Linked DNA regions of Coturnix japonica. The protein of the gene in region 3 interacts with the protein of the main gene of each other region in a pairwise test. Links are inferred from orthologs where the notes say so. Each region holds a gene or a part of one and is shown on either strand. Other genes may lie near its edges. The genes, in order: SDCBP, C23H1orf216, PSMC6, CRK and PSMD9.

The links.
Region 1: the proteins of PSMC6 (region 3) and SDCBP interact in binary tests that used the Homo sapiens proteins (3 or more experiments, as listed by UniProt). The two-hybrid records come from large-scale screens. The link is inferred for Coturnix japonica from reciprocal best matches to the Homo sapiens genes PSMC6 and SDCBP.
Region 2: the proteins of PSMC6 (region 3) and C23H1orf216 interact in binary tests that used the Homo sapiens proteins (3 or more experiments, as listed by UniProt). The two-hybrid records come from large-scale screens. The link is inferred for Coturnix japonica from reciprocal best matches to the Homo sapiens genes PSMC6 and C1orf216.
Region 4: the proteins of PSMC6 (region 3) and CRK interact in binary tests that used the Homo sapiens proteins (3 or more experiments, as listed by UniProt). The two-hybrid records come from large-scale screens. The link is inferred for Coturnix japonica from reciprocal best matches to the Homo sapiens genes PSMC6 and CRK.
Region 5: the proteins of PSMC6 (region 3) and PSMD9 interact in binary tests that used the Homo sapiens proteins (3 or more experiments, as listed by UniProt). The two-hybrid records come from large-scale screens. The link is inferred for Coturnix japonica from reciprocal best matches to the Homo sapiens genes PSMC6 and PSMD9.

The regions. Positions count from the first base shown.
Region 1 is NC_029517.1:101,328,513-101,334,062, reverse strand, and holds part of SDCBP (syntenin-1), read right to left. Parts: intron 3,393-5,550; 5' UTR 3,378-3,392; coding exon 3,327-3,377; intron 2,132-3,326; coding exon 2,043-2,131; intron 1-2,042. UniProt on the Homo sapiens protein: Multifunctional adapter protein involved in diverse array of functions including trafficking of transmembrane proteins, neuro and immunomodulation, exosome biogenesis, and tumorigenesis.
Region 2 is NC_029538.1:3,766,703-3,772,987, reverse strand, and holds C23H1orf216 (UPF0500 protein C1orf216 homolog), read right to left. Parts: upstream 3,496-6,285; 5' UTR 3,328-3,495; intron 2,626-3,327; 5' UTR 2,612-2,625; coding exon 1,895-2,611; 3' UTR 1,195-1,894; downstream 1-1,194.
Region 3 is NC_029520.1:52,821,655-52,827,938, reverse strand, and holds the start of PSMC6 (26S proteasome regulatory subunit 10B), read right to left. Parts: upstream 3,969-6,284; 5' UTR 3,846-3,968; coding exon 3,719-3,845; intron 3,196-3,718; coding exon 3,116-3,195; intron 2,750-3,115; coding exon 2,710-2,749; intron 2,524-2,709; coding exon 2,471-2,523; intron 1-2,470. Other genes in the region: ERO1A (ERO1-like protein alpha), read left to right, coding at 4,162-4,269. UniProt on the Homo sapiens protein: Component of the 26S proteasome, a multiprotein complex involved in the ATP-dependent degradation of ubiquitinated proteins.
Region 4 is NC_029534.1:3,972,705-3,978,822, reverse strand, and holds the start of CRK (adapter molecule crk), read right to left. Parts: upstream 4,249-6,118; 5' UTR 4,120-4,248; coding exon 3,876-4,119; intron 1-3,875. UniProt on the Homo sapiens protein: Involved in cell branching and adhesion mediated by BCAR1-CRK-RAPGEF1 signaling and activation of RAP1.
Region 5 is NC_029530.1:4,890,501-4,896,643, reverse strand, and holds PSMD9 (26S proteasome non-ATPase regulatory subunit 9), read right to left. Parts: upstream 3,724-6,143; 5' UTR 3,722-3,723; coding exon 3,569-3,721; intron 3,495-3,568; coding exon 3,392-3,494; intron 3,098-3,391; coding exon 2,910-3,097; intron 2,352-2,909; coding exon 2,250-2,351; intron 2,102-2,249; coding exon 2,013-2,101; intron 1,685-2,012; coding exon 1,657-1,684; coding exon of another isoform or gene 1,598-1,656; 3' UTR 1,007-1,597; downstream 1-1,006. Other genes in the region: HPD (4-hydroxyphenylpyruvate dioxygenase), read left to right, coding at 3,982-3,984, 4,088-4,114, 4,589-4,651, 4,932-5,036, 5,129-5,171, 5,237-5,319, 5,460-5,549, 5,638-5,741 and 2 more. UniProt on the Homo sapiens protein: Acts as a chaperone during the assembly of the 26S proteasome, specifically of the base subcomplex of the PA700/19S regulatory complex (RC).

The DNA.
Region 1 (5,550 bases), on a different chromosome or scaffold from region 3:
GGGTATTCATGGAAACAACAGGCATTTTGTCTGGAAAAATTCTCCATGGGAAAGTCACACACACACACACACACACACACAGAAGTTGAATACAATGTTCTTCTCAAGCAAGTTGCTACCATTCATAGAATCACGGAATTACCCAGGTTGGACAAGACCTTGAAGATCATCAAGTCCAACAGCAGCCTAACCAGTACCCCAACTCTAACAACCCTACACTAAATCAATATAAACTAAGCACAAATATCCCTGAGCACCTCATCCAACGGCTCTTAACACATCCAGGGATGGCAATTCACCCACCTCCCTGGGGAGCCTATTCCAGTACCTAACTACCCTTTCTGTAAAGAAGTTCTTCCTAATATCAAACCTAAACTCGCCCTGGCGCAACTTGAGGCCATTTCCCCTCATCCTGTCACTTGTCACTAGTGAGAAGAGTTCTCTCATAGTTCCACTGGATGTCTTTTTATAGTCATGCTGCTCACACCAACAGAGAAAGAAACCATGGCCCTTGATATGAAGAAAAATAATTATTTCAAAATTGGTTTAGCGATACCAATCAGTAAAGCCTTTAATGACTGTTCCTTCTGTGGCTGCCTTCTGCTTGCATTTCAAGCCCTTAGGAATGAAAGCTGTAAGTGATTTTGGCAACACCTTATTTTTCTCTTTTGTTCTTCATCAAAAGATAACACTGCAGAATGCACCTTGTTGGCTGTATTACATTCCAATTCAAAATAGGAGAGAGCACTCCAAACAACACAAAACACCCAGCATCTCTCAATAACTATAACCTACAATCTCCTGCCTCCAACAGGACTGAGGGAGTCCCTGTGGGTTTGGCACGTCCTAGAAATTGTCAATACGTCCCAACAAAATGGTGATCTAATAATTTCCCTGCAGGGATGGTTGTCTACGTCCCAAGGCATAGGTAAACCAGGTTGCCCAAGGAGGCTGTGGATGCCCCATCCCAGGAGACATTCAAGGCCAGGCTGGATGTGGCTCTGGGCAGCCTGGTCTGGTGGTTGGCGACCCTGCACATAGCAGGGGGATTGAAATTGGATGATCACTGATATCCTTTTCAACCCAGACCGTTCTATGTTTCTATGATTTCTCAGCCATACACAACATCCAAAGAATGTGCAGACAAGCTGATGTCAAAATACATCATTTGATAAGCAATATGAAAGGCACAGAAGTTGCAGTGGAATACAAACGCCAAGCATCAGAAAGGATGCTACTAAAAAGGGATTAATAATGCAAATTTCCATCTGATCTGATGATGCCAGCTCAGGTAAGATCTTCAGTTCCTTCTGGTCCAATTCACCTTCCCGGATCTAAGGTGGGTCTCTGATGAGCTAAATAAATTCCAGCCTTAAAATTGCTTAGATCACACCAGCTCCAAGTGTGAAACTGGAGACAAAGGTGCACCCACCAAGCCTTAGTACCTGCTCTATCAGCATTCTTGACTGCTCTTCCAGCACTGTAGCTGGTCATGCTAGTTACAGATTTTCAGGCATATCTGTGCATCTTTGTGGGTGCACATCAGCATGGGGATAAAAAGGTGAAATGAGACTGACATCTTCAGGCCCATTGTGTTTTCCAACATATGTTTTTACCCCAAAAGCTGCAGAAAGCACAATATTGTTGAAGTTCCATGTTTCTGGGCACTTCTCTATTAACAGATTTGTGTCTGCTTGTTTCCAAGCAAGTTCATATGCTCCAGAGGAAAGATGCAGTGGAATAGGTTCCCCAGGGAGGTGGTTGAGTCACCATCCCTGGATGTGTTTAAGAGCCATTTGGATGCAGTGCTCAGAGATATGATTTAGCAGAGGGTTGTTAGGGTACTATGGTTAGGCTGAGGTTGGATTTGATGATCCTTGAGGTCTTTTCCAACCTGAATAATTCCATGATTCCATGATGCTCAGATTCATGCTGCAGTCTGAAGTTTACAAACATGTGACAAGTAAGTATATGCAAGTGGCTGAGGTGAAAATCAAGGAGAGATCAAAGGGTCCCAACAACATGAGCATACTATGCAGCACATGACCTTACCTCCATCATGAGGAACAGGACCAGAAGCTTCAGACAAGATTGCTGGATTAGCTGGGTTTGAAGAGAAGGCAGTCTGAGCCTAAAGGGATGGAAACTCACACATGTTACTATAGGTCTTTCTTGTATAAGAGATCTTTGTTACATAGCCAGTAGACCAAGTATTCTTCTTAATGTGCTAATTACCACTACTCTTCAAGCACTGAAGTCAATCATTTTCTTTGAAGTATTTAACACAATACGCGGCAGTGTTATCATACCGCTTCAACAAGAAGTCATACCTTCCTCAGAGACAGAGCTATGCTAATAACACAGGAAGGCTTCACCATCAGCATCAGTTCCAGTTTTGTCATTAAGCAAATAGAAGAGACTTTTAAAGTAAGCCAATTCCCTTTCTTCTCACGGTATCAGAGCTGCTTCTTTCTTAGCCTTTAGCATCCACAAACAGTTGAAAACATTACCTTACAGAGTCCTACTATTATGCAGGACAGAAACAGCCACCTTAACATTGCTACTGATGTTAAAAGTAAAAGGTGTGGTTAAGTTTCAGAACAGCGAAACACAGTGCCAAACAGGACGCATAAATCACCAAATTCAACACGCTGACCGAATTACTGAGTGTTTTTTAAGGAAATAATGCTTAAAAATAGAAGATTTCATAGTCCTGTTCTCTCCAGGAAGTTACGTTTAAGAAGTTTCAGAGCAAAAGTGACTCATTATTTAGTCTCCAACTCAAACTCTGTACAGTAAGAACAGGGTTTTGTTTTGTTTTTTACAATTCCCTCCCCCGCCACACACTCCAGTTTTCCTTTTAATCATACTGAATTGCTGAGGACACAGTGCATCCTTCAGTACTAGCAGAGAAATACCCTATTTCCATTACCACATTGGTTGCAAAAGTTAAACAGTGAAGAGTTTTTAGTTATAGTGTTTAAACACTGGCAGCTGGTCATTAAAAGGCTGAGGGAGCATATAATATAATCAGCTGCAGGCAGGGTTGGGTTTTGTTTTTAAATCAAAGTTTACTGTCACCTGACTGTATCTTCACCTCAGGATAATGCAGGGCACATGGAGCTGAACAAAGAAATCCCAACACTGCCTACAGTTCCAAAGGTCCTTCCCCACACAGAGAAATGCAGGTGAGACTGACGCACTTTACCTTTTCCTTTTCAGAGACTGTAAAATACATAATATAGTAGCAGTTCTCCCCTCCCCGTCTTAAACAGAAACAGGATCATTACTGTTACCAAAACCAACTTTATGAAAGCCTGCCATACCTGAATAACTTTGTCCACCTTCAGATCTTCTAGGGAAGGATAGAGAGACATGTTGATGCAGCCTCACTGGGTTGGAAAAAGAAAAAGGAAGGGTTAGCCATCCAGTACTTGCCTAGCATTACAGCTTAAAACAGAAACGAAAGAGAAAGCAGACAAAGCACTAAATAAGCAAGTCGCGACCTGTAAACTTTAGCACTACAGATACAAAGCACTGAAGACAAATTTCATTAAGACTAACAGTTTCATCTGTTATCACTATTAGCCTATGTATAATAGGCTTTGCTTACTCGGTGCTGTTAAATGTTGCAGCCATGAGAAAGCCTGCACAGAGAACAGCTTCACAGGAAGTATTGCAACAATGATGAGGATTAAGATGGAAACCTAATTATATTCCATCTCCCAAGTAGGACAGTAATTCACATGCAACTGAGGAAAACAGTCCAGAAGTTTTCACACTATCTAAAGGCTTTTATCATTTCTAACACTCCTATCAAGAAGTCACTCACAGAATGACCCGGGTTGGAAGGGACCTCAAGGATCATGTAGTTCCAACCCCCCTGCCTGGCAGGGCCACCAAACATACACCTTTACTAGATCAGGTTGCCCAGGGTCCCGTCCAACCTGGTCTTGAACACCTCCAAGGACGGGGCATCCACAACCTCCCTGGGCAGCCTGTTCCAGGGCCTAACCACTCTCCTAGTGAAGAACTTCCCCCTAACATCCAACCTAAATCTTCCCTCTTTTAACTTAAAACCATTTCCCCTAGTCCTGCTATTGTCAGCCCTTTCAAAGAGTTTACTCCCCTCCTGGGTGTAAGTTCCCTTCAGGTATTGAAAGGCTGCAATGAGGTCAAGTCACTCGAGAGAACTGGCTTCCTGCGTCCATTTGTACCATATTAAAGAGAAGCAACAGACCACGAACCACCCAGACCTAGTCAGCAGTGGGTTTTGAAATCCACAGACTTCAGCCTGCCTCCCTCATGTGATGAGGAGAGAGCCCTGTGACAGCATAACAGGAAGCACTGAAATAAAAACACTTCGCGTGATCTTGGAAGGCACGTAGCCCTGTGTGATCTGAGCCACAGAGGCTTTAGAAAATTCCACTTTTGAGAAATCCTTTGCTCAGATTCTCACCGAGGTCAACAGAATGTTGCAGAAGAGTAGTTAAGGCAGTTCACCACAGGAAAGGATAGAAACAGAACGTAAGAACATGATAAAGCTTTGAAAATTAAAACGTGGCACAGAAAACATGAACGCAGTTAACAGAGGCACTATGAAATGCTTCTGGTTGGGAGATTAATTCTCCCATCCAAAGATAAGTTAGAGGTCCTGATTTGTGCAAGACTGAAAGAGACCACTACATAGAATTACCCAGGTTGGAAAAGACCTTGAAGATCATCAAATCCAACCGCAGCCTAACCAGTACCCGAACTCTAACAACCCTTCACTAAATCATATCCCTGAGCACCACATCCAAACAGCTCTTAAACACAACCAGGGATGGTGATTCAACCACCTCCCTGGGGAGCCTATTCCAGTACCTAACTACCCTTTCTGTAAAGAAGTTCTTCCTAATATCCAACCTAAACATAAATCCTTGAGCTGCTGCTTCTTTACACGCAGACGCTGGGTTGATTTAAACAAACTAAAGATGATTAATTGCTGCAGTAACATAATAGATGTCTCTTCACATAACATTAATGACATCAACTGCTTTTCTACTTGCTCAGCAGAGCGCCCAGCAGCTCCAGTATCATGTCACACTACAATTAACATTTCCAAAGGGAGCCCAAAGCGGGACAAAGATCTAAACTACCCCAACAGAAGTGGCCACGCGTTTAGCATTATTTGCAACTGATAGTTTTTGTCAGGTCATTGCAAACAAACGAAATAGAATTGAGACCCAGAAACATTAAAAATTAAACAGATGCATTTAACGACAGTGTAAAACTTCATTTTAATGCAGCATTGACCTGAATGCCATCAATGCAAATGCTTTTGCTCCATCAAAAAGAACAGCATATGCAAGCCAAAGCCTAGCACAACGCACGCTCAGGTAAGCAGTCCCCAGCCACCTCGTTCTGCTGCTAAAAGCATAGAATGGCTTAGACTGGAAGAGATATTAAAGATCATACAGTTCCATTCCCCTGCAGTGGGCAGGAGCAGACAAGGACATCCATCCCACCTGACCTTGAGTGCCTCCAGGGATGGGGAAATCACAGCTT
Region 2 (6,285 bases), on a different chromosome or scaffold from region 3:
TATAAGATTTCTCTATCATTAAAATGTAAATGAAAACAGACACGAAAACAATCTGAATTTCCAGCCGAGTTGCTCTTGCTTAATATTCTACCCTGAAGGGGGATGTGCGGAAGCAACAACATTTCAAAGGGAATCATTAAAGAAGGCGGCTCAGGCTGCGTCCCCATCAGATATGGGCCGAGATGGGAGCCCGTCCTGTCAGGCTGCACCCCTGCAGAGGGGCACGGAGGGCAGGGTTGGCCCCATCTGCTTTGCTGCAGTGCTGGAAGACCCCGAGATCCCCTGTATCCATCTGCAACCCATGATATACTGAGGGATGGGAACCCCTGGGGATGCAGAGATACCCCTGAGATCCACTGGACCCACACGGAGCTGTGTTCCCATGGGATGCAGAGCTGGGACATGGCTCCCCACTGTCACCAGCAGGTTTCTATGCCTTTGTTTTCCCTCTCCAGATCTCAGGGCTGGGGATGGGCAGCTCGGGATGGGGATGGTTCCAAGAGCAGCGCCGGGGGCACCGCGCTGGGAGAAGCCTCTATGGCAGCACAGAGCATCCACCGCTTTGATCCGCGCCAGCAGTTATTCTTTCATTTCTTGAGCAAATAATCAGGATTTTCCCAATATTTACCTTGGATGTAAAGATTTGTGTCAAGCATCCGACCAAGACAAACAGAGGCGCTGGGTGGGGGAAGGGGATCTGGCAGCATCAGGGCTGCACCCTGCAGCCACATCAATGCACCCCTGGGCACAACAAGGGGCTGCATCTGCTCCTTGTGCTGCTGCTCTGCCATGTCTGGGATGATGATGATGGAAGGGCTTCTACCCACCCCTCAGTGCCCTTCTCTGCTGCTCCCAGTGCTTTGGAAGGGGCTCTACTCGAGTTCCCACAGCTCTGCAAGAAGGGGGAGAAGGGTGAAGGAAGGTTCAAAGGGCTTTTTCTCATCTCTGCTTGATCTCTGTGAGGCCCGAGGCACAGTCACCCCGGGGTCAGCGCTCAGGTGCTCCTATCTCCATCCCATCAGCACGGAGCTGGGCAATGGGGGCTGCAGCCCACGATGGGTGCAGGAGAGCAGAGGGAATAAGGGGGTAACCCAGCGGTGCTCAGCCTCCCACAGGGACAAGGCACAGCCCAATGCCCATCACAGCAGCAGCTTCAATGGTCACAGCAGCACTGGAGAAAGCACAGCACACAAACACAGCGTCTCCTTTTTAATCTCTATGTAAGAAGGGCCGTCCTTCATACTTCCCATGCAGCCCCCGCTGGTTAAAACAGGCATGAGGAAAGAAAACCCAAACAGCATCTTTGCTTTAAGACAACAATAGAATGCAATGAGCACAGCTTGGCGAGCAGCTCTGCGGCCATGCATGGTGCTAACACAGCTCCCCCAGCATGCAGATGTGCATCTATATGACCTGGTCAATAAAAAAATAGCAATAAATCAAAACCAGCTCTTCCCTAACACTGAACTGTGAAATAAGAGCGCAGGGTTTGGGGCCTGGTGATGCTTTATGAGTATTTCTGAGCATTCTGAGGTCACTTTTCAGAGTGATTCTCTCTCTGTGCACTTAATGCATGAATGCAGCTCCTCTCTGCTGCTGTGTCTGATGGGCTGTGGTCAGTCCTGGGGACAACCCAGGGCACCGTGCCCCAATGCACAGCAGCACATTGCACTGCAGGGCAATGGGTGCACACATCAGGTGTGAAAGGAGAAAGGCATTAAAGCTCTGTGGTTAATGGGATGGGCTCTATAGGGTGAGCACCACAATGCCCAGCATGGGGCTGACACAAACCCCGTGCACCAACATCACCATCAGAGCCAGCACTCAGCCCTGATTTGGGTGGAGAGCTGCGGGGAAGCAGAACGGGATTCAGAGCGTGGAATGCTCGCACAGCTCAGGGGCTGGGGGCAGCAGCGGGGCACGGCGCTCCGTGCTGCATGCAGCGGATCAGCTCCTTGCGGTTGTCCAGGATGGTATCGAAGCTCTCCTGCAGTCGGTCCTGCTGCTCCAGCACCTTCTGCTGCAGGCCGTGGATCCAGCGCAGCAGGGCCAGGCGGCGGTACATCACCAGCTGAACGTGATGCTTCTCCTTCTCCCGTTCCTTGAAGCGCTCCTTCTCCTGCAGCTGCTGCACCGCCTCCGCCAGCGCCGGGAATAGGGGCTCCGGGGGGGGCTCGGACACCTCGGGGGGGTCCCCGGGGGGATCCCAAGCGCTGCCGCAGGCGCTGTCGGGGCTGTCAATGCTGAGCGAGCTGCTGGCATAGCCGATATCCTCCGCCGGGGATCCACCCAACTCCCCCTCCCCGACCTCCGCCCCCTCGGGGGGGCTGCGCTCGCCCTGCTGGGGGGCACACGCTGAGCTCGAAGCGACGTCCCCCATCCCGCCCGGAGCCATCTGTCTCTGTGCTAACAGCAGCAGATTATCGGAGGGATTTGCAGTGTTGTTTTTGCCCCCCCCGTCAGCCCGGCTCCAGTTCTGGTTGTTGTCGCACTCATCGTCCCCTGCGAAGTTGCAGTTGGAGTCGGGGCTGCGTTGTAAGGACCCCGAAAAGGCTGAGCTCAAAGCGGGGACCCCCGGGAATGGGGCGTCGGGGGGGCACAGGGCGAACATCTCGGCGGTGCTGCCTGCAAAGGAGACGTGGGGATGAGCCCACAGTGCGGCACCGCATCAAAGGGGGGACCCGGGTTTGCAGGGATAAGGGAGTTTGTAGTGCTGAGATTTGGGTATCCCTGCGGTGGGGATGTGGGTCAGCCTCCTCCATCACTTGCCCCGGCACATGGAGGCAGAAGGGCTCTCCTTGCCCCAGGTCTTTCCTGCTGTGTGCTGGTGCCCGAAGCGGTGCCCAAAGGAGCGGATGGGACAGAGAGGGAAGGGAGAACACCGTGCTTATCTCCGGAGCATCAGCACGGAGAGCGCTCCCAGCGCTCACAACAACCACGTGAAGGATCCCCGTGATCGGCCCCGTAGGGATCAGCCCGGTGGGTCGGGGGGTCCCATGGGGCAGCGCTGCAATCAAGGAACACCCGGAGCTGCCCACGGAGACCCCCGAGCCCAACCCCCGGCCCTACACGGCACCTCCCCGAGCCCCCACAGCTCCGTAGCGATGCGGGATGACCCCCATCCCTCCGCCCCGCATCGCGCACCGCACGGGGACGGGCAGTGCGGGGCCGACCCGCAGCCGGGCGTTCCCGAAGGCCTCGTGTTGGGATGTGCGGGGCAGGGATGGGGATGCTCGCACGGATCGAGGCTGCGGGAACCGGCGCTGATCCCACCCTCAGGACCCCCCCTAAAGGATGGAGCCGCCCCGCAAAGCCGCCCGCACTCACCGGGGCCGCTCGCAGCTCCGCCGCCGGTGGGAGCGGAAGCGTTTCCACGCGGGGAGGTGCCACGGAGCCGCACTTCCGAGCGAAGCTGCGGTCCCCGCCGCCGTGGGCAGAGGGAGGGCGGCGGCTGCAGGGAGGGACCCGGCTGGGATGCGGTGCGAGGCGGGCAGCCTCAGCATCACCCGGGGAGGGGATGGGGATGTTGGGGTGGTTGGGGTTGGGGTCGTGGGGTGCTGCCCCCCGTGGGATGCGGGTCGCGGTGTCCGTGGGATCCCAAAGGGACCCTCGCGGTCCCCCCCCGCTGGGAGCCGTCTGTCTGCGGCATCAAACGGGAGGGCACGGGGGGGGGGGGGTCACATGGAGCCCCGCGGGCGGTCTGTGGATAATGAGGCTCTGTGGGGTTGGGGTGTTGTGGGCAGACGTTCTGCCGCTGTATTGAGAAGGCTGGGAATGGGGGAATAGCGCTGCTATGGGTTAAATCTGATCTGCTGACTCCTAGAAGGCCAAGAGATCAGCGCTGCTCTGGCCTCAAAGAAACCCCATAAGGACCGAGATGGGCCCTGGGGTTCCTCCCTGCACAGCACGAGGTGAAAGAAACAGTGAGCATCCAACCCTCCCCTCTGCCTGGATGTCCAGCCTGGCTGCACAGCCTCACTGTGCTGCAGCCAACCCCATGGCCTGGGCATCAAAACTGCTGGGAGTGATGCTGAGCAGTGATGGGGGGCAGTGGTGGGACCCCACTGTGCCATAGGACCCCTATGCCATGGCCATGGTGTCAGCTGGAGCTCCGGGCACAGGGACATGGGGAGTGGGGACACTGCTGGAGGGGGAAGGAGAGAAGGGAGGGCTCGGGGCTGGGGGAGCTTAGTGGTGGATTTCAGAGCCATTTTCCCCTCCTCTTCCCCTACAATGCTCCAGAAATGAATTAAAAGCTCTCCCTTCAGGAAATTAAAAGCTACTTTAAAAGAGCAAGAGCAGGATTCAAAGGGACGGAGTTATGTCCTGGGTGAGATGAAGGCCATTCATTGCACAGTGTGGCTCCAAAAGTCCCTAAATCACATTTCACCCAACTCCTGGCTCCATGCACTTGCCCCATGCAGGACCAGGCTGCCACCTGCAGTGCATGCTCACTGTGTGTGTGTCTGTGCATTGCACGGCCATGTGTGCATTGCATGCTCCTGAGCCAGCAGAGCAGCAGGCAGTGGTGCATTGGGGAGGCTGCGAGCAGGGGGAGGTGTGGGCTGGAATCTGCAACACCAGGAGGCAATGAAATGTGGTTGGGGTCCCATCAATTCCCATCTCCTGTGGCCACGGCCATGAGAGGACATGCTGTGCCATAGGGATGGGGTGGGTATGGCTGGGGACACCCAGGGCCCTTGTGGGGTCACCACCCACTGCAGGGACCCCCATGTGGATGGAGATGGCCCTGGGGAAGCCGTCCTGAAAGAGTTAAAAGCCAAATGTTGCAACAACAACAAAATAAAGTACAGAAGGAAGGGAAAAAAAAGGGCCCTGAACCACATGCGACCCAACCTCCCCAGCGGCTCATCTGAGTTTAATAACAGAGGGGGGAAATCTCCCTCAAAGCTCTCCGAGAAATTAAAGTAAACAGAGTTCTGACCTCCACCCTGCACTGCCCCAATGGCACCGGGGGTCTGGGTTGGGGGGGGTCCCCGTGCTCTCCTCCATCTCTGCTTTCATAATGCACAGGTTGGGTTGTGGGGATGCTGCCAGGAGAGCAGAGCGGGGTTCTGAAGCTGTTCTGTCTGTTTCTTGGCTACAATAGGGGAACTTGGGCCCTTCCCATCAGAGCAGGACCCCAAAGTCACCATTTCCTCTGGGCCTGTGAATCACTAATAAGTTCCAGACAGAAAGCTCCGATGAGGAAATTGTTTGGGAAATTGAAGGGAAGTGGGAGGGACGGGCGCTCACTGCCGCTCCGGGGCTGCACTGTCACCTCCCTGTGCTGCAGGCACAGTGTGGTCCCCAAAGGGCAGCACCCAGCGATGGCTGCAGCCCCAACACAGGAGCTGTTATCTCACTAATGCATTCTGCACCTCCAGCATGGACTATGCCAAGGCAATGCTGGCTGCCCAGCAGCTCTGTGTTGGTCTGTGCCCATTTACAATCACTGCCCTTCTTTCCCCCTTTGATCCCCATCCACCCCCAGGACTTTCCCAGCTGTTCCTCCTGACCCCCTTGGGCTGCTTCCCGAAATAGGAAGGTTCCACATTTGGGTCTCATCATGCAAAAAAAAACCCAAAAAACTTCAAGATTTGGAACTTTTGCTCTTGGAAACCAATCTGATGCATTCCAGAAATGCTTCCATTTATCCCTTTGTCACAACATCCAATAAAGGCTTTGGGTCCGGCCGCCCTGTTTTGATTAATAACTGTAACCAATTCTAAGCTGCACCAGGTCGTGTTAGTGGGAATTAAAGGTTTGATTGCACCCATCAGCAGAGCTTTCTGCTTTGCTAAATGAACTGGCTGAGAGCTTTGAGCAAACCCCAATTGGGCGGCACTTTGTGGGCTTCTCTCAGCTCTCCCTTCACCTGTAAGTGCTCAGTTCGCTCAGTTCACATCCCTTCCTCCCCCTCTCCTTTTCCATATTGATGGTGAGAAGGAAACCAGAACTGCACCAGCATCCCCTATAGGGCTGTATCGCAATGCAGAACCCAGAGCTGCTGGTGGGTCTGTTCCCATTTTGGGTCACAGCAAAATGGATCTTCTGGCTGGAAGTGCAGAAGTTACCATCATCCTCCTACAGGAACCAACAATATCCTCTCGTTGAGACACTAATATGAACAATCTGTGCATTGGAGGAAGGAGCACAGCTCAGGAGCCTTTGATAAACCCGAGCAGGAGCCAAAGGAGAAACAAAACCCCAAATCCCACAGGGTCACTGAGGTCAGAAAAGCCCTTTCAGACCCCAAAGTCCAACCCCAGCCCACCATACCCA
Region 3 (6,284 bases):
CTGTTTTCTCCAAGCCTTTGTTCATCTTTACATACACAATTATACCTCTTCTTCAAAGTCAGCTGCTCCAGTCGTTGCTGTTTCCCTGCTATCACTCACACCTCAGATGCCCTACCCAACTGCCTGTTCCACATGTAAGAGTTTAAATAAAGCCTGCTATCAGCAGCCCTGTCCCAGCACTCTGTAGTATCCCCTGCTAATTTCTGCTGGGATTAAAACCACTCACGTGCATTTCTCACCCTGTTTCTGGGCAATCTCATCCAGGACAGCAGTCTCATTCCCCCCCTTGAAGGGGATCACCTTGTTGCTGTTTTCATCCCTTTGTTTTTAAAGAGGTGCTCAATCTACGTTTGAGGAATATAAAACCTATTCACTCTGAGCTTTACCAACAGGTCACCTGAACAATGGGGATTTCTACAGCCGTTTACAAGCTTCCCAGCTCCCTTGCAGGGAGATTTAGGTCTCATGCCCACATGGGCTACCCTGGTAGCTTTAGGATCAAGCTGTCACTCCTCCCTGAGTGGAGTCACTGATAAGACCTCTCTTCAGCTGCCTAACCATAAGAAATAAGTAGGAGCTTGAAATCATATCAGATTCCACACTGCCCAATAGATTTAAGTTATTCTGCAGGGAGAAGAGAAAAAGAAACCACTTGACCTTGAATCCCCTCTAAAGCACACTTCAGATAGGGAAGTAATACTGTTTTCATTTACACCCTATGGCTCTCCTTCCTCAGCAGCACAGCCCAGCCATGAGGGCCTGGATCAAAAGCTATTCCTTAAAGCTCCCTGAAAGTTTTCAAAATGCCAAAACATCAAGGCACCTCTCACAGTCTTTTTTGGTCTCTCCTACCAAATCAAAGATCTTTTAAGATCAAAGAGTGCTTTTTGCACAAGAATAAACTGCTAAGTACGCACTGCAAGGTCAGACTCATCCAGCTACAGCCTAATCCTGAGCATGTCTCTCTGCTGCAACAAAGGACCTCCAGACTAAGACATCAAACCCACCTCGTGTCTCAGTGGAATTAAGGAGACTTGTCTCAGAAGAATATTTAGTTCATTCCAACAATAGGCTGCCCAGTCTGTCACTTCTTGGTCACCTCAACTCCTCCTACAGTCCATTACATATGAATCATCTAAACGGTTGGTTCAGTCATACATTCAGCTTCTATGATGAGGCTTCAGTTCATGAGAAGAAACAAAACATTTTTCTGAGACATAAGTATCCTTAATTCAGAGAGAATCCGAGCACTGTGAGACCTCTGCAAACATTTTCTTTCAGCAGAACGATCTGCAGGATCAGTTTTCCTTCCAAAAGGTTACTTCCATTATAGAAGGGAATGTGCTACAACCATGAGGTGTTAAAGCACAGCTGCAGTTCCTTCTCCCTACAGCACACAAAACAGTTCAAGATGAACAGAGAGGTCACAGCTACTAAGAAGTACTTGCATTTATTTAATGCATTAAAACAACTATGTAAAATCTGCTGCCTCCTCAGGATTGGTGATCCTCCCTCACTGTCATAATTCTATCCAGAGGATACCTTACAGTCTCATATTTTTCATACATGTGCTTCTTTGTTCCTATGCGTGAAACTCAGGGATGAGCCAAACAAAATGGGACTGAAGATTCACTCTCACTCCCCAGAATGACTCTGTGTTGACAAATAGTTTCTCTGAGTTCTGTGGTTCCTCAGTAATATGAGGCTTCATAAACAACTCATGATCTGTAGTGTCTAATTACTGTAAATGAGTGGCATTCATTGTTCAATTCACCAACCAGCAGCTCTGCAACACATCACTTACACTTTTGTACCCTTCTGTACAAAACCAGATAGTAAAAAGCACCTCTAAGCCGGTTCTGGCTGTATCAGAGGATGGGTTGTTTTGTAAGTAAGGTTCCACATTACTATGGCAGCTTTTATGGTGTACTTATGAAGTGCTGTTGTCCTGCAAACTAGAAGCACCAAGATGCTTTAAATTATTAAAGGCAAAGCTTTCAAAGTGTTCACTGGGTGCTGCCTACTGTAATTACTTATTGAAATGGAGCACAAAAAGTATTAGAAAAAGATATAAGTACATAGTTACAGAGCACTAGATCTAAAGCTCAGCAGAGGACCATTACTGTCATACGCTGTGTTTGCAGCATGGAAAGGCAGATTCTTCACAGCTTGAAGGTATGATCATTTCTTTTCAGAGTTTAAGATCCAGCAGAAATACTGAGCTTCAAATAAGTGAAAGGGATAAATACATGCAAAGCTCCAGGAGCACTTAGAATTACTTTATCTTTACTAAGAAGATATGTTATTGCCAGACAGAAAGGCAGAGAGCAAGCAAACACCTGTATAAAACAGGCACATACAGCTTAAAGAAGAAAATGCTTTATGCTGTTCAGAACTCAGCCTATGAAAAGCCATGTTAATAATCAAGACCAAAGCAACCTCCTTCTGAATAGTCATATAAATCAGGTACCTGACGGCGACAGCCAACCACGTATCTTGGTCCATTCGTAGCCTTCACGATGACTAAAGAAAAAACATCACAGAAAACAATAAGTTAATTTGATTCACAGCCCCAAATCACACCTCTGGACTATCCAGGATATCTTGTTTTCCTGCCAATACTCAGCTCGTTGAAGCTCTGATTCTTTTAGATGAACTTCAACTGCAAAAGCTTATTTACAGAACCTCAGAGCAGGTCGGTGTACTTACATTTCTCTTCTGTGAGCTGTTTAAGCACCTCACCAACGATCTGCAAAGGAACAAACACAGTATCAGCCTACAGATTAACTAACCCTTGCCAAAGGTCATTTAAAGCAAGCTTTAAGTATGCTCTAAAGATGGCTTTGAAATTCATTCTCCTGCTTTAAGTTTCACTTAGATCTTTAAGTTCTTTTAACAATTTCTATTAGCCAGGACAACCAAAGAAAACCTGATGTGCATGGTATGACAGCTCCTGGTGGTAAGGTCCTCCCCCTCCTGTTTGCTGCACTATTCCCTCTTACTTTTGCTTTGTAATCAAATGAACTAAACAACTGCTGGGCAAGTTGCTCCAGCTACTTCCAGGCAAGCTCAGCAGCCACAGCCATAAGCTGTTATGACTTTGCCTCTTACATACCTGCCCAACGCTCTGCAAGGCCTTGAGATCATTTTCTGACTTCTCATATTGCTTGGTGAGCTCCTTCAGCTGCTCCCTTACTGGACAAAGAAAGAGAAACACAGGTTTTGGTAACTTCCAGACACGCAGGAAAGCAGCAGGTGGAAGCCGTGCACACCTGCCAAGTCACCTTCCTGCTCAGCAACTACAGGATCTCAGAGTGAGTTTGTGACCAGAGCCACAGAAGGAGGGTTGAAAGGAACCTTAACTATCCCCCAGCTGGAGGGCAGGGACAGCTCCCCCAGCTCAGGCTGCCCAGGGCCCCATCATGAGCCGCGGGCAGCTCCAGTGCTGTGTCACCCACAGCCCCGCAGTGCTGTGAGCACACAACCCCTTCTCTCTCTCTCTCTCTCTCTCTCTCTCTCCCTCGCCCATTCCCGTCCTCCCGTTCCCATCTCTCTGCCCTCATTCCCAGCCCCTCCCTCCCCCCTCACTGCGGCCGCTGCCTGCCGTGCCGGGCCGGGCCCATGACGAAGCGCTGGACGCGGCCCGACGCGGCGGCCCCACGGCTCGGCTCGGAGCCGTCAGACACCGCACGGCGTGTGTGCCGGGGCCGCCACTCACGCTCCTTGAGGCGCCCGTCGATCTCCTTGTGCTCCAGCAGCTTCTTGCGGTAATCCTGCAGCGCCTTGTCTCTCGGGTCCGCCATGATGAGCAGCCGCCGCTCATAGGGAATGCCGGGAAGGGCCATGGCCGCCTGGGGCCGCCCCGCGCCGCCGCCACGACCGCCCCTCCGGCACCAGCGGCGAGAGACAGCGCCCCCTGGAGGCACGGAGGGGCAGCGCAAGGCAGCGGGGCGGCTCTGTGAGGGGAGGGTCGCTCCGAAAGTAACGCCTCCTGTTTTCCACGGTTATGGCGGTGCGGGCAGCGCTGAGCGCCGTCACACCGACACCCGCAGCTGAGGGCGGCCCCATGCCGGGCTGCGGGCACTGCCGGCCGCACCCCCGGGCCGGAACGGGGCGGAGCGGAGCGGGGCGGCGCGGATCATTCCGGCGGCGGCGGCTGCGATGGCGGCGGGCGGAGCGATGCTGCGGGCGTTGGGATTCGCCGCCCTGCTGCTGCCTGCACTGCACCGCGGGGAGCAGGGATCGGCCGAGAGACGGTGCTTCTGCAAGGTGGGATGCGGGGCGTGGGGGGACAGACCCCGTTGTGTGGGGCAGCCCCCGTTGTGTGGGCAGCACTCGTTTATGTGGGGCACCAGTCGTTGTGTGGGCAGCACTCGTTGTGTGGGGCAGCCCCAGCCGGGTTTCCCTTCCAGCGGTCGCAGTGTTCCGTGCCGGGCCGTGCGTTGCCGCTCGCTTCACTTCGCACTGCCGGACACATCGCTCCGTGGTCACTCTCCTTCCAGGAAGCGGCTGCGTTACACTCAGTGCTGGAACGTGAATCACAAGTCGGGAGTGGGGAAAGAAAACGCGCAGCCGAGCGCTTGGCTGTGCCTTTACCTTGTGGGCGGCTCGCGATGGAAGCGGCAGCTAAAAGCCGTGCTGATAGGGGCTGATACGGGCTGATAGGGGCTGCCCGGTGCGCTGGGCAATGCTTTATCGCTGTGCATTCCCTGCTGAGGTTTTGCCTCGTCAGGCTGAGTCAGGAGCGCTGTGATACGAGCAGCCCTCGCTGCTCAAAGCGCTGCTGTTGTGGGTCACCAACCAGCAGCCCAGGCTGCCCAGAGCCACATCCAGCCTGGCCTTGAATGCCTGCAGGGATGGGGCATCCACAGCCTCCTTGGGCAACCTGTTCCAGTGCGTCACCACCCTCTGCATGAAGCTGGAGCTGCTGATTGTCTTCTAGGAGCTGCTTGGAGGTGATACAAACCCACTGTAGTATTCCTGTGCTCTGTTCTAGCTGTAGGTGGGAGGTGCAGAAAGGAGTCTGCCCTCTTTCCTGCCTAGCTGTGCAATAAGTGGTGGTGTATGGGTCAGGAGAAAAGAAAGCCCTAAATCCACTGCCCAGGAGCACTGTGTGATGCTGAGTGAACTGGGAAGACATGAAGCTCACTGGTGCAGCCTGGGATGGAGACAAAGGAGAATGAAGCAAAGGCCAAACCTAAGGATGATGCCGAGTCCACGCATGGTGATGCTCCAACCCATGGTACGCACCCATGGAGGATGCATCAGTGCTGTGGCATTGCATAGAGCCAGCACAGCAGCTCCCTGGCTGCTTGCTCAGCAGCTGGAGCCATTGGGGTGTGCGTCTGTCCCGGCGGCTCCGTTGCATCTCTCTGTGCTGTGCAGGCCCTGCCCTGCCTGTCCCATGCCATGTTGGGCTCCCGCACCCCGCCTGGGTGGAGCAGAACCCATCGCTGCTGCTGAGCTCAGTGATTCAGGTGCCAGGAAGCACATGGCACACGTGTGGGACCTGCTGATGTTGTGCTTCATCTGAAAGAACCACTTGAATTCTTGCAGGCTGAAGACACGGTGTTTTGGGAGGAAGGAAGGGGTGTGAAGGCATCACCCCCTCAGGAAGGTGCTTATAGTGCTTCACCCTGAGCTCTTTACAGGGTGACATTGTGCTGGCTTGGTTCTGGCTTCGTTTGGTTGCTCAACCTTGGAAGTTCAGGCCTGGTACAAAAGTTACACAGAATCACAGAATGGGTTGGGTTGGAAGGGACCTTCAAGGCCATTCAACCCTACCCCTGCCTTGGGCTGGGTGCCCCCAGGGCCCATCCAGGCCTAGGGACCTCCAGCCATGGGGCAGCACAGCTCCGAGCAGTGCCAGCTGAAGGTTCTACAGGTGTTTTGGAGGCCATTTCTAGAGCAACTGAGGCATGGCCCAGCCTTGCTCAGGGGCTGCCAGGCTTCCAGGAAACGCAGACTAATGAATGCTTTGGGGTTTGCTATTTTCATCGATGAGCCTTCGTTAATTTTGCAACAGCTTCACGTTGGGTAACTGGACTGGCAGATCGGTGCTGTTTGTTTTGTTAGATGGAGCTGGGTTAGGCCAGTGGAAATGTTCATTGCTGTGCTGCTCATCTGAGTTTTCACGACTTTGCAAAACGTGTGGCAGTGCAGAGTGGTGAGGGGCTGGGCCAAGGTGTGAGTGCAAGAAACAGGAGCAGCCTCCAAGTCATGGTGACATAGCACTGATGATGTGTTGGGGTGGCAAAGGGCGCTGCAGCTCACTGCATTTCCCT
Region 4 (6,118 bases), on a different chromosome or scaffold from region 3:
GCCAAATGTACCTACATAAAGCTTAAGAAAGTCCACTAAAGCCTTATGTGTGAGGAAGCAGGGACTGAGATCAGTGCACTGCAGAGCCTTCCAAAATACATTTGACATATCTGAAGAGAGAACGCAGCCCCTTCAAATAGGTTTTAAGATCAGAATGATCAATGTGTTCCTTGAAGGGACAAAAAGGATCGACACTATTTGCACAAAGGGAACACGCCCAAAATGCCACACGCGGTTCTGATTCTTTTGTTTTAAAAGCAGAGGGCAGCTACAGCCATTTGAGGTCTGGAAAGCAGGATCTTTGCAGCAAGAAATCCATAAGCTTCATTCAAACTGCTGAAGAACATAAAGGCAGCAACCTGGTCACGGCCTGGAAAACTTGAATGGGAAGATTCCTAAAAGCACCTTGACAGGAGTTGAAAGTCGCTATTAGGAAAAGGCAGGTTGGAAATACAACCACACCTTACCAAGCAGGTGGTAATCTCCTCATCAGTTTAAGTCTTTGGTGTATACTCTTGTTCAACTACAAAGTCAAAGAGCTGAGTGATGTCACTTAAACAGCAGGGAAATAATTCCACACATTAGAAGCTTCCAAGTCCTGCCATTCCCTGCTACAATGAAACCCATAGATTAACAGATTTCAGGCTTGGAAGAATTCTTCAGCTTCTTGTTTGAATTACAACACTTCTCATACCTGTAGGCCAGTGGAAAAAACTAAGGCAAGATCTACCATAAGGAAGTCAGAGCAAAAGAGCTGTGTTTGTTTTCTTTGTCTGGAGAAGCAGAGATGTTTTCCTTCACAACCCTGGAACAGTTTTCTTGAAGGCACAAGTTCCAGCAGCATATGGTCTGCATCTTCCGAGGGCTCTCAGGAAAAGCAGAATGTGTGCAAAGGTAAGACTGGCTTCTAAAGGAACTTTAGTCACTTCCTATTAAAGTTGGACAACTGAAGAAATCCTCTTCCCTCCTCCCCAGCTCTGGACAGCCAAAGGAAGGACAGCAGCTCAGCTCACACCTTTGCTGCAGGACTGTTCGGCTCTGTAAGACAGCCCCTTAGAATGAGAAAGGGAAAGAGATGTGTATCATCTTCCTACCTACTCCATCCGAGCTCTGTCTGTGCTAGGACTTAATGTGATTCCATCCACTTGGAAACAGATAGTGAAATCTCTGCTCTCAAAGGGGTGATGAAGGGGTTAAAATCCAAAGTAGCCCATAATTAAACTAAGCGTAAAATTTGGACCCTGACTGATCTCTATGACACACGGGCCTTCCTACGGAGGACTTTTACACTGGCTTGGCTTTGTGTCAGTGTGGAAAAGATCATTCACAGAGGTGTTAAATAAAACATCTAACATTCTTTTTGGGAGCGTGGGCAGGTGGCATAACCACAGAGCAGCTTTGCGCTTCATCAGACCCTCAAGGGTTTCACATTTCTCTCTTCACTCCCATCCCGTCCGTGCCACTAGGCAGTTTTCTCTTTATCCCTAAGCTTTGGTAAGCTTTCCTTTTTAGGGCATGGGAGACTTAACAGGAATATAGGTTTTCAATTTCATCTCTAGACACACCCCACAAACCCCTACCCCCATCTTCAAAAGCACATTTGGGGAAAGAAAGGCTGTTCTTGGTGTTCAGGGTGCTGAGACACGAGGCTCTCACTCTGAACACATCACAGCAACATATCACAGCCTTCCTCCTAGAGCAACTCTGCAACAGAGGCAAAACCTTCTGCCTGTTTCCCCCACCTTCATTCCGACACCTTCTTCTCCTTGTTCTTCAGTGCCTGTCTGCTCACTACTGAGACAAGCACTCAGGAATGCTCTATAAAAACATGAGTCCAGGAAGTGCAGCCTGAATCCTTCAGAAAATCACAATGGAGCGCAATAAGCACGTTCTTAAGACGCATAATACTTACTGAAAACATCACCTTCCACTCTGTCACACTTCTCTATGTCATAAAGAAAAACGTTAAGGCTTTCAGGCTTCTGGCCTGATGTCTTTAGATGTTTGAGTGTACACCAGACATCACGGCCCTATCCTTGTATGTCAAACTGCAAAGACGTGATGGGTTTAAAGTCAGGTTCCTACTGTCACCTGCACACAGCAGGGTACAAGCAGTCACAAATCACACATGCATTTCAATCACCTGAAGCCAATAAATCAACACAGGAACCTGACCGGGCATATTTAGGCTTTCCAGTGAGTTGTGTGCATCTGTCAAACAATCAATTGCAATAAAAATAAGTAGACCATATAGAAAACTGACATGGTAAAGTTGGTTTTTCCAAAATAGCTACTTGTGAACATTTACCTCATTTCACTGCACTACCTTCCCCATCCAAACCTGAAATCATCTTCAACCTTATAGCAATAATAGCACGTCCCTTCCTTTAAAGAACATTTCTCCCTGGAGGAAATTCTTAATTACAGGTTAAACGTAACTTACTACACACACACTTTCTTCCTTTGAGCGTGAAAAGCGCACAGCATCAGCATGACATTCATTTAAACCCACTTGAATTTCAGCACAAAAATACCTTTGGTGTGAAAGCAAAGCAGCACCTATTCCAATAACATCAAGGTGGGGAAAAAGTGGACTTCCAAAAAGTAATAAAGCTCAGGATGGACTCCACTACAAATCACCATAGAAGCTTATTCTGCTCTGTGTAACAACCACACGTTTCACACATCAACCTATGAAAATAAACCTTTGCCTTGATAAGACATGAAACGCTGAGGAACCGAATGTATCTTGTGGTAAACCACTTCACTACCCGCTTCGCTTCCAGTTCAATGCAGCCACCTTTATCTCCTGCATTGCAGAGCTTTGTGTGACTGAAGCACACCTTACAGCAGCGGCAGATTCCTGTGATGAACCCAATGACTTCAGGCTTTCCCCAGTTTGTCAATTCTAAACGTTACCCCAATCAGGAGAGATCACTGTAGAATGGTGCAAACCCACCCACCACCAACAGATTCCTTCTTTATCAACTACAGTCTGCACAGCCTTTCTGTCTCTGTAGCAACCTATGTCCTAACTTCACTCCTCGTCAGGTTCATTAGCTCTCCTATTACACAGCCTTATTATACAGCCTTCCAGACTTTGTAGTGGTTTCTCAGAGATGCCAGCAATTCGCCCACATCATTCTGTGAGCATTAACATCCAGACAGGAGCGGCTCCACCGCCAACATCAGCAATGCCCCCATCAGGGCTGCTGCTTAATTCAACCTTCTCATCACACATCGATAGATTATACATTGCTGAAGGCTCCAGGTCACTTGTGCGTTCAGAATCATTGCTTTCTGCAATGCAAAAGCAACACTTCAAGGGTTAACTTAAGTACATTATGTTTGTATTAGAGGTTGATGAGGAATAACATCAAATCTCCCTTTACAACACAAGGTGTGTGTAGGAGGGGGAACCCTGAATTCCGTATCTGATCTAAAGGAACAAACGCCTTTACACTGCTCCCACCCAGCTTTGATTCACGACTAAGTTTAGCCTCACAATCTGTCCTCTTAACTCTCAACTATTCCAACCCAATTCAACCTTTGAATTGACACTTCCAGGGATCCATCTCCACGCTGACACACCTCACCCACAAATTAAAACAAAACGAAAGAAGGCATAAAGCTGTAAAAGTGTGACGGCTCCGGGCTGCGCTCTGTCCCATCGTTTAGATGCGAGGCAGGTGCAGGGAAACGGCTGCAAGGCGAGATTGAATTAAGTCCTCTACAAAGAGCAACACGACTCCAACACAACACGACTCCACCACGACTCTCAGACCCGGCCGTGAGCAGAGCGGAGCTGCAGGGACCAGGCGCAGAGCGGGGCCCGCAGCGGCTGATGGGCACGGCCAGCCCTGGGGGTCACTCACCCGGGGTCCCGGGGCCCTCTCCGCCGGCCCTTCGTCCTCCCGCCGGCCCCAGGCTGTTGACGATGTAGTGCGACACGCGGGAGCTCTCAGACACCGACAGGACGAAGTCTCCGGGGATGGTGCCCGAGTCTCGCACCAGGAAGGTCCCGTGGCGCTGCCCCTGAAGCAACGACACCGCCTCGGCCCGGCTCAGCCGCCCCCAGTACCAGCTCCCCCGGTCCTCGGAGTCGAACTGCCCGGCCATGGGGGCCGTCCCGCCCGCAGGCCGCACTCGCTGCCCCCGCCCCGCGGGCCGCCGCCGCCCGCGGTGCCCAGCTCCGCGCCCAGCCCTACCGCACCAAAATGGCGGCCCCTACCCTGACCTCACCTACCGGAAGTGACCGCACGCGGGAGACGCGGGGGGATACGTGACGTCATCACAACGCGCGGCCTTGGGGACGGTTGGCGGCCTGTGGGGGCTGCGCATGCGCGTTGGGTGGAGCGCAGGGTCTGAGGGGAGCTGTGTGTGTGCTGCCTTGTAGGTGAGACCTGATTGTGAGTGCGGAGGGTCCGTCTGGGCACCCACAGGATCACAGAATGACCCGGGTTGGAAGGGACCTCAAGGATCATGTAGTTCCAACCCCCTGCCTGGCAGGGCCACCAAACATACACCTTTACTAGATCAGGTTGCCCATGGCCCCGTCCAACCTGGCCTTGAACACCTCCAAGGACGGGGCATCCACAACCTCCCTGGGCAGCCTGTTCCAGGGCCTCACCACTCTCCTAGTGAAGAACTTCCCCCTGACATCCAACCTAAATCTTCCCTCTTTTAACTTCAAACCATTTCCCCGTGTCCTGCTATTGTCAGCCCTTTCCAAGAGTTTACTCCCCTCCTGGTTATAGGTTCCCTTCAGGTATTGAAAGGCTGCAATGAGGTCACCCCGCAACCTTCTCTTCTCCAGGCTGAACAAACCCAACTCCCTCAGCCTGTCCTCAGAGGGGAGGTGCTCCAGCCCCTGATCATCTTCCTGTCCCTCCATTGAGGATTCAATTCATTGTCTTTTTTCCTTCAGAGAGAAGCTGCCACCTGCAGTTGGTGCTTTCACCTTCCCAGCCAGCTGCATTTTCCTGCCTCACAGCTGTTTGCATGGAAAACCACTGGAAAACCCTTCCCAGGGAGATGTTCTGTGTTAAGTAGAGCCCTGTGGAAAAACAAGCTGTTTCTGACCCTGAGAAGATCACTGACCGCAGGAGCCTGCAGATAAAGTTGCTTCACTTCCATTTCTGCTGCAGGGGAATGTGCATGTGGGTGTATGCACCATTAAGAATTATAAGGATGGAGAAATAGGTACCAAGTTTAGATTAGCTTCAAGTTCCAGAGTAACATCTTCAGAGTCTGGATAACTGCATAGACAATTCCATTCCAGCTCTGCTCAATTCTATAAGCTTTTTTTTTTCCCCCAAAGGAATGTGTATTTTCAACTGTGTGGCCTCCATGTGGCAGCACTTGCATAAACATGGAGCACAGCTGCCCTTAACTGTGCAAGTGCATGTGCTGGCTCACAGCACCTTTGCTTTCTTGTGAGGCATTGGGAAGCCCTGTGACTGTCTCATGGAGTGGCTTTGGTATTGTGTTTTGTATGAACCTTCACAGTATCCCAATGGAAAAATATTCTATCTTACAGGTGGGAGGCTGCAGTTATAAATATATAAGAAAACACCAGGTGTTTGACTTATCAGATGGTTTAACAAATGAGCATCCTTCCTTCGCTGATCCTGTTCTCTCTCCAGATGGACTGTAGGTAGGAGCCAGTCATGATCTATTTGGAACCTAGAATGCCAGTTTCCCTGGTGACGCATGGAGTTTGCAGGATGGCTGCAGAAATAGCACACTTCTGTGCTCGGGTTTTTCATAGATTTAAAAAGCTGGAGATTCTTGTTGAGAATTAAATCCCAGCAGCAGGAAAGTACAGCCACATTCAGGGTAGTGCTTCACAGTCTTCAAATAAACAAGCCAGAAGTCTCTTGCAATGATAAAAATAATCATTTTTAGACTCCTGCCAGGCCAAGAAAGAAAGAAGAGAAGCTGCCTTTTGACTGAGAGTTGTTGTTCTTTTTCTCCTTCCCTTTTGTAACCCATCTTCCCTTGTTTCCAGCTGAACATCAACAGGAGCTGGATGGTTTCAGCAGGTTTCTTTCACAACTGCTGGCAGTTGGGAATATTATTGCAAGAGTTCCCTCTGGTGGTCACTAATGGGGAAATG
Region 5 (6,143 bases), on a different chromosome or scaffold from region 3:
AAAGCACCCCATCAGGATGATGCCCACATGGGCTTGTGGCTCCAAGCGACCACCCTGAGCCATTGCTGCCTCCTAATCAGCTCCAGGCATTTCCAACTGCTGATTTCAGACGTGCTATTAAGCTCGAATAATAACAATTTCTAAACCTAATTTGTTTTTCCTTCCGCCCAGCACGAGCCCGCTGCCCTGCTGGGAGAGGAAAGCAGTTCTGCTATCAGCACAAACCATCTCAGCAACCTGAGGAGCTGCCACGCGCTCCTTCCAAACCACTGCATAGAGCAGGGAATTATGGCTTAAAGAGCAAAGATCTGACCTAGGGAAGTGGATTGGGAACGATGGGTGGTGAACAAGCAGGGCAGACCCAGAACACCATGTCTACTGAGTGCAAGATGGTGGGTTTTGCAACAGAACTGTGTTTTCACTTGCTGGAATTGATCCAGTCCTACCACCAACGGGAACAGTGCAACATGCAACAGAGCACACAGCCAGGACATGCACTTCTACAAAGCCCCACAGAGCTATGGATGTCACAGTGCAGACATCCCCCACAGTGACAGGGAAATGACAACCCCGAGATCAGGAGTTAATGCACTCCGTTGTGCTGGGATGACCCACTAACCTCACTGCACGAGCAATAGAGAAAGCCAGGACTTTGTAGGGCATTTCATCCCAGGAGGCACATACACAAAGGCTGGGAAGAACATCCCATGAGCTGTTCTTCTGGACCAGCACACAGACCCAGATCCACCTGCAGCTCAGGCAATACTGCACACATGGGGTAGGCAGACATACCCTGAGCACACATGGCCAAGGCCCAGCTCCAGCTGGTCTCACACTAGAGCTGCAGTACAACATTCATCCACATGCTTACAACTACAACCTGCTTTGCTTCACCAGACCAATTTCTGGCTGTGGAAGGTCAGGGAAGAATGATTTCATGTCTCTGCAGATCTACTTTTAACCTACCTGCAATTACAGCCCCCAAACAGCAACTTCCACAAGAAGGGAGAGAGACACCACTCAGCTTTATTCATCGGGATGAATACTTCAAAGTTCAACTGGAAACAACCTTACAAACAGGAACAATCCCCCCAATTAACAATTAACATAATAAAATAATTAGGTACTCCAAAATTGCTCTCTTATTTGGTGATTTCCAGCAGCTATGAACACATGAGAGTTAAAGTAACAGATCTGTGTGTTTCTTGAGTGTGTTCTACTAAGTTAAAGAAGGAAAAATTGTTCCAGGTCTTTGTATCCTGCTTTACAGGATGTTCAAATGAGGAATTTCAAGGAAAAAATGAAGGAATGCCACGTTGTCACCAAGTAAAAGCACTTTATGTTCTTCCCAATCTGTATCAAGTGAAATCCAAGTTACACTGCAGCCTTACTCCAAACTGACGCAAGGCACAAAGAGATGAGAAGCCACTTCCTGCAACTCTGTGAGTTGCTCCTCACAAACCAGCGCAATTCCAACTGCATTAAGGTCCTGCTCCATCAGAACCTCTTCAGACCCTGCAAGCTCAGCCACCCAGAGGTCACAGCCCCTGAAACACCCATTTCAGCAAAAACAAAGGTCACAGGGCAAGCTTTCAAATCAAATCAGAGTCCAGAAAGCAGGCACAAGCTTCATCTTTATTGTCTTCCCAGCAGTGGTCATCTTTGCAATGGAGTGATATTGCAGCTGAAAAAGAAGAGTGGGGAAGAAAACATTTAAATCTATGTTCCGAAAGAAGCTTAGATGATCCAACACAGCACAAATCAGATCAACCACAACCCTCCTCCATTGGTTTCCTCTACTATAGGAAGGAGCCACTGAGATCTTCAGCCCCATACCCATGACTGATACAACTCATCACCCCGTATAGTACCAAATTGACAACCCCAGCTCTCAGCTGGACTCTGCCTGTGAGACACATCAGAGCAGCACAGAGCGAAGCAGAGCTGGTTCCTCCTGCAGGAGACGTGCCCTGAGCTGATAAGAGCCCCCTCCACTCCGACTGGCAGCCTACCCCAGCAGGCCCTTCCCAGCCCAGCGCTTCGGAGTCAGCCCCAGGTGCACTTGCTTGCCATTGCGGATCACAGTCACACTCAGAGGTCTCTGGGAGAAGCAAAAAAAGAAGATGAGCTCTCTCATTTCCATTATGAAGAGCCCAATGGCTGTGGTAGCTTCTCTGGCCGTTCCACAGCAAATGCTGTAACTCATTGGGAGAGATAAGAGAACGCAGTTACAGCAGAACCAAACTTACCCCTTCACTATGCTGTACTACTGTGGCGATGTTCTGCAGGCTCTTGAAGTTGTTTGCATTGACAGAACCAAACTCCACAATCTCATCATCAACCTGCAGACCCTGGGCAGACAGAAAGAAGCTGAACGTCTGTGTTCTGTGATGACAGGTAACACTGCCTGCTCACAGGAGCTTTCATCCAGCCGCACAAGCTGTGCTAGGACACCACCCTTCTCACCATTCAGACAACTGAACATCATACCATGCCCTTAGAAACAAGGGCACACTCATTTTTCTGCTCTGTTTTATGAGAAAACAATGAGGCTGCAATGAACAGATAAGCCTTGTAAGAGCTGCGTGGTGCTACGATGCAGCAGACAACATGCAATTTCTGATCCCAACACAGGGACAAACCAGCTCACAGGGACAAACCAGTGACACGGCCACAAACGGGCAGCTCCCTCCATGGGAACATTCAAGAATAACTGCACTGGTTGAGAAGGTGAATGAATATTTGACAAACACAGAATGAAGAAAGTGTGAGTGGGATAATAACAATAATCAGTATCTCACAGCTTATACCTGCCTGTTAGCAGAGGAAAATAAGCAACACATCCCCTATTTCCCCTTCTTAAGCACAAAAGAAGCCATCCCCATCCACTGGCAGCCCCAGCAACGTACCGCGATGCTGGCGGGTGACTCTGGTGTCACCACGTTGACTTTGGCAAAGGCAGTTGGCAGATTTTGGCTCATGGCCTCAGCTCGCGCCTCCGCCTCATCCCTGGCGTGTTTCTCCTTCTCGCGGGCGTGCAGCTGGTGCAGAGCCTCCTCCACCTGCTTCATCAGCGCCTTGTGGTCGTTCTGCAGACCTGCGGGTGGCACCCAGCTCAGTAAGAAGCAGAATCACAGCATCGCTATGGCTTAAAGGCCCAACACAGCCCACAACCCACCCCACGTCCCTCAGTACATCCCACAGCTCCTGAACGCCCCCAAACCTCCCTGAGCAGCCGCCCCCTCTCGTCCTATCGCTGTTACCCGGAGCAGAGGCCGACCCCACCCTCCGCACCATCCCTTAGGGGCTGCAGGCAGCGCTAAGTCCATCCCGAGCCCCTTTTCTCATCCTGAGGAGTCCCCCACGCCGCTCCCGTCCCGTCCCCACTCACACGCGATGTTGTGCCGGGCTGTTCGCACTTGGTACAGGTCGATGTCGGCCCTGGGGAATCCCTCGCTGTCCACCAGCGGCCCGTCCATGCCCACGCCCTTTTGCTGAGGGGAGAAAGGCCGCGGTGAGACCCTCGGCAGCGCCCCGAGCCCCGAGCCCGGCCCCGAGCCCCGCTCACATCGTCCAGCAGCTGGTAACACGCCCGGATCTGCGCCTCCAGCTCGTCCTTGCGCCGCACCAGCTGCTGCACCTCGCTCAGAGTCATGGAGCCGCAACCACCGCGATCCGACATGGCGGCGGCAGGAAGAGACGCAGCGGGGGGAGAGAACATGGGGCGGGGACAGAGAGCAAAGGGGGCGGGGGCAGAACGGGGGGCGGGGATGGGGGGGGGGTGTCCATGTGGGGGGTGATGGAGGTGATTGAGGTGATGCCCCCATGGCCGGGCAGTGCCCCCGGGGCGGGCAGTGTGGGAGGAGGAGCCGCTGTGCTCTATATCAGCCCCGCTGTGCTCTATATCAGCCCCGCTGTGCTCTATATCAATCAGCCCCGCTCAGGGTCGCGTTCTGTGCTGCTGTCACTGCGGGTCACATCATGGTGAGCGGGCACAGGACGGAGCGTTTATGGGGGACACGCTTCCCCCGGCCCCGCTGAGCGCTCAGTGCCCGCTCACTCACCGCCTGTCCCGCTTCTCTTGCAGACGACGTACACGGACAAAGGGGAAAAGGTGAGTGGTTCCCTGCTGGGGGACACCCCGTCCTGTGCCCCATGGCTGCCCCATGGCTGCCCTGCAGTGCTCTCAGTGTGGCGGTGGAGCAGCGCTGGGTGCTTTGCTGCCGGGTGAATCGTTAACGCTGCGGGTTAGTGAGGACAGGCTGCAGGTTTGGGTTGCAGCTGCCATCTCCTCCTCTGTGACCCAAACCCTAAACCCCAAACCCCAAACCTCCTACTGCGTGTTTCTATAGGACCAGATGCCCCTGGGCTCACTTCCAGGCTGACAACTGGGTGTTTTGCAGCCACTTTGCTCCATGTGACCGGAGCCAACGCTGTGTGCAGAACAGCCTGCATGCAAAACACTCCAAAACATCATCATGGCGGGGGGCCATGGTGACATCCATGTCACTGGGTGCACCTGCAGGAATTGCATTGGGAAGAGTTCCATCTGGAGGGACTGTACAACTTCTTTTCCCTTTCCCTTTAGCACCAGCGAGGCCGCTTCATCCACTTCCACTCCATCACCTTCTGGGTGGGCAATGCCAAGCAGGTAGGGGGCCGCAGGGCTGGCGGCGGTGGCCATTGGCTGCCAGGGGATGGTGGGGCCATGTATGTGTGTGTGTGTGCTGACAGCAGCCCTGGCCAGGGGCCACGGCCTTGGGCCCTTGCGCAAGGTGGGGGGTGGATGCAGGGGGTGCACACAGGGCAAAAATGCAAAGGAAAAGCAAAAACGCGTCACCGCACACAGAACGGGCTGTACGGCTGTGCTGGGAGCACACAATGGCCCCGCACACACCGCACAGCCATGCACACACCGTGCTGTGCTGCAGGCTGCCTCCTACTACTGCAACAAGCTGGGCTTCGAGGAGCTGGCGTACCGCGGGCTGGAGACCGGCAGCAGGGAGGTGGTGTCACACGTCATCAAGCAGGACAAGGTGTGCAGTGTGTTGGGATGCACTGAGCAGAGCTGGTGGGATCCTCCCTCCCATCACTAACTCTTCCTTCCTCCCATCCTCTTCCACCCCAGATCATTTTCGTCCTCTCGTCGCCGCTCAATCCAGGCAATGAGGGTAGGTCTGGGGCTGGGGCTATGGGCGCTGTGCAGTGTCCCCATACTGACGTTGGCTGTCGGTAGAGATGGGTGAGCACATGGTGAAGCACGGGGATGGTGTGAAGGACGTGGCCTTCGAGGTGGAGGACTGTGACTTCATCGTGCAGGTAGGCAGCACACGTGAGGTGCAGCGGGTGCCCTGAAATGGTGAGTCTGGGGCTGCTGGGTGTCGTGGCCGCACGTCCCCATGTTGGCATGGGAAGGGCCCCGGGGGCACGTGGCAGGACGGGCACTGTGCTCTGCTCAGAAAGCCAAGGAACGTGGAGCTGTGGTGGTGAAGGAGCCCTGGGTGGAAGAGGACAAGTTTGGGAAGGTGAAATTCGCCGTCATCCAGACGGTGAGTGATGAGGGCGCTGAGCCCCCAAAATGCAGTGGGGTCTGTGCATTGCAGCAGTGGGCACAGAGCCGCTTCCTCCCCTCCGCAGTACGGTGACACAACACACACCTTGGTGGAGAAGCTCAACTACAAAGGGCTCTTCCTGCCTGGGTACCACGCACCCCTCTTCAAGGACCCGCTGCTGCCCAGGCTGTGAGTAGCACAGGGTCCCAACATGGGGATGGATCCCACCCCCCGGCTGCCATCAGGTCTGAGTGCTGCCCCGTGTCCCTGCAGGCCGAGCGGCAAGCTGAGCTTCGTGGACCACGTGGTGGGGAACCAGCCCGACCTGCAGATGGTGCCGGTGGCAGATTGGTGAGAGCAGGGCAGGCTGGGGGGAGGCCAAGGGCAATTGCATAGAGCAGAGGTTCATTAGTGCCAGGGGCTCCAACGTGGCCGCTGTGGGTGGGCAGGTACCAGAAGAATCTCCTCTTCCACCGCTTCTGGTCGGTGGACGACAAGCAGCTGCACACCGAGTTCAGCGCCCTGCGCTCCATCGTGGTCACCAACTACGAGGAGACCATCAAGATGCCCATCAATGAACCGGCGAATGGC